Canis lupus familiaris: one gene and its partner. The protein of the gene in region 2 interacts with the protein of the main gene of each other region in a pairwise test. Links are inferred from orthologs where the notes say so. Each region holds a gene or a part of one and is shown on either strand. Other genes may lie near its edges.

Region 1 (4,564 bases), on a different chromosome or scaffold from region 2:
TGGGAAGGAGCTGCTCCAGATGGACCAGTTTAGCCCCTTCCACAAAAACATGTCTCACATTTCCCCATCAGCCTTTTTATCATTTTCATGTCTTGACTCCCCAGTCACACTGGAAGTCACTAGCTAATGTCCTCCCATCCCCCCATGGTACATAGCACAGTGCTTTGGGCATGGGAGTTGCTCAACAACTATTTGTCCTGGATGAGAACTTTTCAGTAAATGTCACATTTGCACTCTCGATAGGGATCAACAGTCTGACGCCCCCAACATGAAACCACTCCAGAATGTTCTCTAGATTCTCTAGATTTCCAGGAGAACTAAAATAGCTGAAGTTCTGGAGTGCCTCTCTGGCTCAGTTGGTAGAGCATGTGATTCTTGATCTCAAGGTAGTGAGTTCAAGCCCCATGCTGGGCGCAGAACTTACTTACTAATAATAAAAATAAAACAACTAAAGTCCTGTTAACAGGATTACTGGTGCAACAATAACAGCCACTATTTATTGAGCAATTACTATGTGCTAAGAACTAATCCTCACAATATGTTTTTGAGAAAAAATGAGGCTCAGAGGTGTTCCATGCCTTATTCACAGATGGTTTTAATTTTTTTTTTTTTTTTTTTTTTTTTTATTTATGATAGTCACAGAGAGAGAGCGCGGCAGAGACACAGGCAGAGAGAGAAGCAGGCTCCATGCACCGGGAGCCTGATGTGGGATTCGATCCCGGGTCTCCAGGATCGCGCCCTGGGCCAAAGGCAGGCGCCAAACCGCTGCGCCACCCAGGGATCCCTCACAGATGGTTAATTAATGATCAAGATGATTGCAATCCACATCCATCTGACTTGAAAGCCCACACTCTGTCTCCGCCCCAGCAGCCCCTAAACCTAAGAGGACAGAAAGGCTGCTGCCCACCCCTCTACGGACTCCAGAGAGATATGGGACAGGCTAAATGTCAGCAGGAGGGTATGTTCGCAGGTATCCAAAGTGAGACCACAATAGAAGTAACTATGAAGCAGTTCTTGAGTGAACTGGTATTAATTCAAGTGCCTTCACATTAATCCTGCAAAAATCCGCCATAGGGTTTATCATCCCCAATTACAGAAAAGGAAACCAAGGTTCACAGAGGTTCAGCGCCTCATCCAAGTGAGTGAGGAGCATCAGGTTGCCTGTTTGTTCCATGCTCCTTTTGTGGCCTCTGCATATTTGTCACACAAATGGCTTTTCCCTCTACTGATTTTGTTACCCTGGGAAAGTGAAGTCCCACCCCGAGCTTCAATTTCCTCATCTGGATAGCAAGGAGGTCACAGAAGATGATCTCCCAGGGACGAATGGGTGCCTCAGCCACTGAGTGTCTGCCTTTGGCTCATGTCCTGATCCCAGGGTCCTGGGATCGAGTCCCGCATCACGCTCCTTGCAGGGAATCTTACTTCTTCCTCTGCCTATGTCTCTGCCTATGCATGTGTGTGTCTCTCGTGAATAAATAAATAAAATCTTAAAAAAAAAAAAAAGATGATTTTCCCAAGGCCATTTGAGCCCTAATATTATAAGGGGTTCATTCAGAAACTTTTTGAACAAGGGCAACATCTGTTGCAAGTTCACCAGGGGCTAGAAGCCTCACATACGTGACATGTCTTTTTTAACCCTCCACTCTTATAAGATACATACTATTTTATCAATCCTATTTTACAGCTGAGGAATCTGAGACTTCAAGAGGCCAAATGACTTGCCCAAGGTCACTCCATTGAGAAAGGCTGAGTTAAATTTGCCGGTCCCAGACAAACTCCAGGATCTTCCCGTGAGAGGAGGGTTCTCCCCAATATTGGGCAGTTGGGGAAGGGGCACAGGCCTGGTTCCTCTTTCCCAATGGCCAAGAGCCACAGTGGATCCCATGGCAAGGTCTAACCGAACTCTGCAGCTTCATGCCTGGGCTGCTTCCTTTCCACAGGTGGGGAGAGAAGTGTCTTCACTTCTTTAGTAATTCGTTCTCGAGTATACTGTCCTGAACCCTGTGGTAGGGGCTGGATTAACAGATAAATGACATGACACGTCAGTCAGTCGGGGAGAAAGGCAAATGTGTCTAGAGGGTGAGGGTATGGGGAAAGTACAGGACCCTGGAGATGGAGGGGGGAGGGGGTGCCCAGACCGGGTCAAGAAGTCCAAGACCTGCCTCACTCCAGAGCGGGGCCCAAACAAAAGCCCAGGCTGAGCGCAAGGCCAAGCCAGCCTCCTTCTCCCTGGAGGCCACCAATTGTGGTGCAAAGAGCACTGGTTGTCAGGAGACATGGAGACACCAGAGGGAATGACCTTGGGCAACTCCCATCCCTTCCCAGGCCTCCTTTGCCCCACTTGTACTGTTCAGGATTGGGGAGCAAAGGGTCTGTGCAGCCATGGCCCTTAGGAGTCCCGCACTGCTCCCCGTACCTCTTCCCCCAGAACTTCCGAAGGGAGGAGCTGCCTCTCCTAGAAGCCCCCAGCGGGTACTATTTCACAATCATCCCTTCTAGAGAAGGGGCCACTCCTGCCCTCTGCCACTCTCCAGGGCGCAGGACAAGCCCCTCCCCTTCACCCCATCTTTCGTTCTCCGTCCAGAGCCAGGTACCTACTAGGACAAAGACCCTGCGCATATTTTCCCCATCTCCCCCATTCTTCGCCGAGAGCCCCTCCCCAGGCCTAGATCTTGCCCCGCCTCCAACCCAGAGATTCTAAGCGGGAGTCCGCCGGTCCCCCAGCCCCAGACCGTGGCCGCCGGCCCTGCGCCCCCCGCGCTCGCGCCACTCCTCGGCCCCCGACCCGGCTCTCACCGCGCAGCAGCCGCGACATCCCCGGCGCGGGGCTTCGGGCTCCCCAGCAGCCGCCGCGCCGCCGCAGAGATGCTGCACAGCCGCGGAGCCATGTTGGAGCGGCGCAGGTTGGAGCAAGGCCCGCCCCCAGCCCGGAGGCGGGGCGGGGCCTCGGCGAGCCCCGCCCACCGCCTAGCCGGTCGCCTCGCCGCCGGGCATCCCCTACCTCCACCGAGCCTGGGCTCATCAGGTTTAGCCTCAGAGCCCCTGCAGCCGGTCTGGTGCTGACGTGACCTTGACCAGGGCCTTTGCCCACTCTGGGCCTCAATGTCCACTTTGGTAAAATGGGAGCGTCGGACAATGATGCCAAGGGTTCTTAGTTGGGCTCTCAAGATCAGTGGCAGAGGGTCAATCAGTAGGCGTCCTGAAACTGCGTTTTTCTGAGGAGGAGGGATTTACAGGCAGTATTTAGCACATTATCAAAGGAACAAACCCCTAACAATTGAAGGCAGTTGGACAAGGCTCGGGCCACCAGTCCGTTTTCTCTCCATCTCCTTTTCTATCTTCATCCCATCTCTACCTGGGCATCCCGGGGCCTATGCCCTCTCCCCGGCCCTGCCCAGCTCTTTTGCCTGCCTTCCAAACTAACCCCTTCTCAGTCCACAATCCCCCAGATCACAGACGTCAACAAGAGTGGAGAGCCTGCAGACCCCACCAGGGGTCCAGGGGCCCAACGGGACATGGATCCTTGCATGCACACCCCCAGAATGGCCACCCATTGACTGCTAACTGGTGGCTCCCTCCTGGTATGCTTGGCAAGGCGCAATGAAGGGCAGGCATTAGTTTTGTTAATCCTTCAGCAAATATTCAGTCAGCCTGGCTATTGCTTGTGCTAAATTCTGAAACACTAAAGGCAGACAGGACAACAAGCCCCCAGCCCTCTTGGAACTTGAGGTCTGGTAGGGGAGACAAAATCAGATCAACACTGACTTTGAGCCCCTTTAGGACAGATACCTTAGGCTGCTTTCCCCTCACTTCTCTTGCCTGGTACATTAAATATTTACTGGATAAATGAAAAATATACACAAAAGTATTTTGCCAATTATAGTGCAGACTGTAAAGAAATATAGTGAGCTGTGAGGACTTACAATGGATAGGGAAGAGAAAAAGGGAGATCTATGTATACTTGTGGGTCAGTAATGACTTCTGTATGGAAGTGAGGCTTGTGCTATGATTTTTTTGCCTTGTGTTTTCTAAAGGAGCATGAATTATATGTGTGATTTATTTAAAACGGAAACTATAGGGTGCCTGGGTGGCTCAGTTGGGTTAAGCATCTGCCTTTGGCTCAGGTCATGATCCCAGGGTCCTGGGGTGGAGCCTGCTTCTCCTCTCTCTCTGTCCCCTCTCCCCCTGTTTGTGTTCTGTCTCATTCTGCTCTCTCTCTCTCAAATACATAATTAGAAATCTTTTAAAAAATAAAAAGGAAACAGTATCCTCATGATAAATAGAAAACCTGGATCAACTGTCATAAACAGGCAGAACTATCTAAATAAATGTGCAGTGGACACCACACTACAGCCACTGCCATGTAGGTAAGGCAGAAGGCTATGAGCCTGAGGCCTGCTCTTTGTGTTAAGAAGAGCACAGTGAGGTGTTGGAGACACAGCTGGGCCCAGTTGGCTTATCTGAGGGACCAAAAGGGAATATGCTCCCCCTTCTGGAAGTTGGTGTGATCGAAGGCTACCCAGTCCCAGCCACTCAGGAAAAGCCCAGATGAATAGATGGAGGT
Region 2 (4,304 bases):
AGCCGTCCCAACACAAGCTTCTCCTACACAGTCACCAGCTTCCTGATTCACTAACTCTGAATCAATAGTTCTGAGTGATGTTTCCTGAACACCCAGGCTAAATTCAAGGTCAGTCTTTTTGGAAGGTCGCAGCCTTTCCCCTTAGGAACAAAATGAAATGTCCTCCACTCTTGGGCTCCCCTTTTCGTCTCATGTAGCATGGGGCTCTGTGGCGATCTGTGGCTTTTTACACAAGTCCTGATAGAATTCTGACTCCAAGAAACGGGGATAAGAGTTGTTCTCCATCAAGCTGTAGACCCTTTTCTGGGCGGTTGTAAAGCAGCCACTTGTAGCTTCTTGTATGTTTTGGGCAATCAGAGTTTTGGTTTGAAAGTCTATGTTTATCTGAAATTATAAAAAAAAAGGGGTTTATTCCATATTCAAAGCTAGGGACTGATACCTATTTAATCGTTGAAAACAAGCAGCAAAAACTATAATGTGTGATGAGCTTCATTAGCCAAGTCATTGAAGAAATGAAATTAAGCGAATTAAAAACTAGAATTAGTTTCTTGAAACAATCTTGTCCCTCCCCCCTTTAATTTAATGTCTTTTTGTTTCATTTTGGTGCTAAGAATATTCAAAATATGCTGAATTGAAGTTCTTTTTTTGCCCCCCTTACCTCTTTAGGTGCTTCTTTTTCTATGAAATCAGTATATATTTTCCTTGCTTTGGAGGACAGCTTTTGGGGTGACTTGGTTTTTTTGAAGTCTTCGCAGGCCAGCCAGAACTCAATATTTTCTTCACAAAACTCAGATTTTAAAAAAGCCCTGAATGCAGCAAGACCATCTGGGGAGGAAGAAAGGGGGGAAAAAACATGCAGAATGTAAATTGGGTGACCAATTAATGCCTTAAAATTTTTCCAGAACTACCATTCTCCCATCCCTATATTTTATTATTTCTAAATGATGGCAATTTTCTATATTTCACTCAAACTTGTAACCCTCAGAATTTAGCCTTTTAAAGACTAAGATGCTAATAGGCAAAATGCATAAGCTGGCACACTGCTACAAAATATACTTAACTTTGCTTTTAATGCAAATATTTAGAGGGGAACCTAAATTCTCCGGGCTCCAAACCTCCTGGAAACCTTGTATGCAATGGAAAAAGCTGATTCAATTCAACCTTAAGGAAGAGCAACTGCCCCTACAATTTGGGCTACTTTTCCTTCCCTATCTACAGTGAAGAAACCATGTATTTCTATGGTTAAACAGGAAATAAAGGAGAAAAATAGGCATTAGATCTTTAGTGATTGCAAATTTGAATTCCCCTTGAGCAATCTGCTTTTCTGTTGTGAACACCTTTGTGGACTCTTGTGATATTTGTGATATCTTGTGAAATGGATCAAATTCAAAAGGTTAACTTACATTTACTGGCTAGCAGCTCATCAAACGCTTCTGACCACAGCTGTGCTTCCTCAGGAGAAGGCCTGCAAAAGAAGGTCTGCTCATTAGCTCGTGCACATCAGAATTCCTCTTTTCAGCTCAGCAGCTAGCTATTCATGTTCGCAAATACAAGATTTTTCAACTTACTTGATGAAGGTTTGCTGTTTGCTTTTCTTGCCATTTTTGGGCTTCCCAGGAGACGACGAATTTTGTAAGAAGTAGCTCAAACGGGTCTTCCAATCTTTTAATCTTAAAAAGAAAAAAAAAAAAGATATTCACTAAGTGACAACGTTTGAAATTGCTGTGGCAGCTGAAGGCATTTTTACCAAATAAAGCCACCCAGTAGCAACAAGAATCTTCAAGTCAGTCTTACTCATTTTACATTTAAACCTAGCACCTACGTGCTTAACGCAATTAGTTTCATCCCTTCATCTGAGCAGAAGTACTACTCTCATAACCAAGGGTAAGTCTACCTAGGACATTTAAATGAATTTAGATGGCATATTTCAAAAAGACAGATGCAATTTCTGACCCACAAAAGACCGCAGTTTTTCTGCAGCCTTGATTACAATTCTGAGACATTTCACACTTGAAGAAACCTAACACTGGAACTGCTTGGAGCCAGTGGGTGTTCATTTCCCTCCTACCCTTAGAGCAAGAGGCTCTGGACCACTCCAGAAGCCATGAGGCAGGGGGTGTATGTGTGTCCGAGAGAGAGAGAGAGAGAGAGAGAGAGAGAGACTGAGTTCCCCTGCCCCAGCCCAACTACAACACTCATTTTAAGCAGATGATGCATAACGATGATTTGCTGCACAATCTTTAGTGGGTGAATTAAGCAATTCAGTCAAAAAAAAAAAAAGCGATTTTAAAACGAGTATGTTCAGAACCAGCCAAAATATTCCAATCCGGAAGCTGTGCAAGCTGATCAGAACTTATAATGCAAGGCACCAGTGCTGGGGATGTGCTTCGGCCCCAGGATCCTCGGCTGCTACCTTAGACGCAGGGGCCACAAAGCCAACCTGCGAGGTCTTAGCCTCCTCATCCTCCTCATCACCACCGCCTCCCTATCTAACATGCTCTCAGTCCTAAACTACCCGAGAGTCCTTGGCTCACGCACACAGATTGAACCTTACTTAGCTAATTGCCCTCTTCCACATTTTTGCTTTTCCCTGCAGAGGCGCGGGTCGCAGGGTTTCCTAACGTCATCACGTTCGCAGCAAACCCGGAGCGCCAGGTGCGCAGCGCGGGGCGGGCGCCCGAGGGCCGTACTCACAGGGTCCGCTTCATCTTTTCCCGCTTCTCCTCGTGCTTGGGGCTGTTGCTCGAGCTCTTGTCCATGGATCCGCAGTCGTGCTGGACGGCCAGGAACATGGCACTTTGCATCGTCCACCGCCTGCCGGGGCCGCAGCTCTGCGCGGCGGGGCGCGGGCGCCGCCTTTATGGGCGGCGGCGGGGAGGGGGCGGGGCCTCCGCCGCCGGGCCCGCCCCCCGAGGGCACCGATTGGTCGGCTGCACCCGGGCGCGGGGGCGGGCGGCCCGGCCCGCGGCGGTCACGGGCGCCGCCGAAGGCTCTCGAAGCGAGGTGGGCTGACGTCCGGGGCTCGGGCTCCGGCTCCGGCTCCGGCTCCGGCTCCGGCTCCGTGCGCGCTCGGGCCCTCGCGGCGGCTCGCGGGGTTGCGTGTGGGATCGGACCGGGACGCCTCGCCGCCAGCCGCGCCCCGGCCACGGGACGACGGGACGACGGGACGACGGGAGGGGGCGCTCCCGGCCCTGGAGGGGTGCAGGCTCCGGCGGGGAGAGGCTGCTGGGAGCGGACCGGGGTGCAAGTGCTTTATTTTGAGTTAAGATGTTTTCCAACCCCCCGCCCTTGTTTTTTGGAGAGCGCGCCCTCTTCCCACGCCTCATTTCTTGCAAACAGGCCGCGGGGAGACCCTCCCCTCTTCCGCTGTGCGACTCCGTTGAGTTGGGAGGGGAGGAAAAGATGAAAGGGAGGGGCGGGGCGGGGGCGGGGGCGGGAGCGAGGGGGGTAGGGGCGGAGGGGGGCAGGGGGAGGGGGCGGGGGGCAGGGGCGGGGGGGCAGGGCAGGGGGGACAGGGTCAGGGGAGGGGGCGGGAGGGCAGGGGCAGGGGCGGGGGGGCCGGGGTGGGGGCAGGGGAGTGGGGCAGGGTCAGGGTCAGGTGGGGGAAGGAGCAGGGGCAGGGGGGGCCGGGGCGGGGGCGCGGGGGACGGGGGCGGGGGTGGGGCAGGGGAGTGGGGCAGGGGCGGGGGGGCCGGGGCGGGGGCGCGGGGGACGGGGGCGGGGGTGGGGCAGGGGCGGGGGCAGCGACCCCCGCGCGGCCGGGGGGTGGGGTGGGGGGGGGCAACCCGGAACCCTGCGGGGACTGAACGGTAAGCAGGGAAGGAACCGGAGAAAGGGACTTTATCCGACGGCCGTGTTTTAAGAGGGTGTGCAGCCTTGCTCCCCGCAACCTGCGTGATTGGGTCTTCCCGTGGGGTTGCAAAGCTTTTTCTCCGAAATCCTTGGTTGCTTCTCCTTCCAGGACAGAGAAGTCCCAGCTCTCCTCACGAGGAGACGGAGGGAAACACCAAGACGTGGAAACTGTGATGCGCCAGAGCCATCCTCGTCCTGGGAGTGCAAGGATGCAGGGTTTCCTCATGAGTCATTCTTGGCTGAGAATTTACCAGAACACTTAATAACTTGCAAAGTGGGGGAGGGAGGAGAAGAAGACGTGAAGGGTTTACTTGCATAATTTGGTGATTGTTCAAAAATCATCTGTGCGAAGGCCGGCTTTAAGTGTTTTTGAGTGGGAAGGACAAACGGAGAAGGTCCACAGTCGATGACCTCAACACAATTCACTCCTTGATTTCAGGTATCAGAGCCGT

The links.
Region 1: the proteins of RGS2 (region 2) and NIPSNAP1 interact in a two-hybrid assay, tested with the Homo sapiens proteins (2 studies listed by BioGRID and IntAct). The link is inferred for Canis lupus familiaris from reciprocal best matches to the Homo sapiens genes RGS2 and NIPSNAP1.

What each region holds. Positions count from the first base shown.
Region 1 is NC_049247.1:23,203,616-23,208,179, forward strand, and holds the start of NIPSNAP1 (protein NipSnap homolog 1), read right to left. Parts: upstream 2,936-4,564; 5' UTR 2,889-2,935; coding exon 2,797-2,888; intron 1-2,796.
Region 2 is NC_049259.1:6,818,299-6,822,602, forward strand, and holds the start of RGS2 (regulator of G-protein signaling 2), read right to left. Parts: upstream 2,854-4,304; 5' UTR 2,805-2,853; coding exon 2,695-2,804; intron 1,671-2,694; coding exon 1,569-1,670; intron 1,466-1,568; coding exon 1,404-1,465; intron 826-1,403; coding exon 659-825; intron 385-658; coding exon 190-384; 3' UTR 1-189. Other genes in the region: protein SPT2 homolog, read left to right, coding at 2,861-3,261, 3,962-4,115. UniProt on the Homo sapiens protein: Regulates G protein-coupled receptor signaling cascades. Inhibits signal transduction by increasing the GTPase activity of G protein alpha subunits, thereby driving them into their inactive GDP-bound form.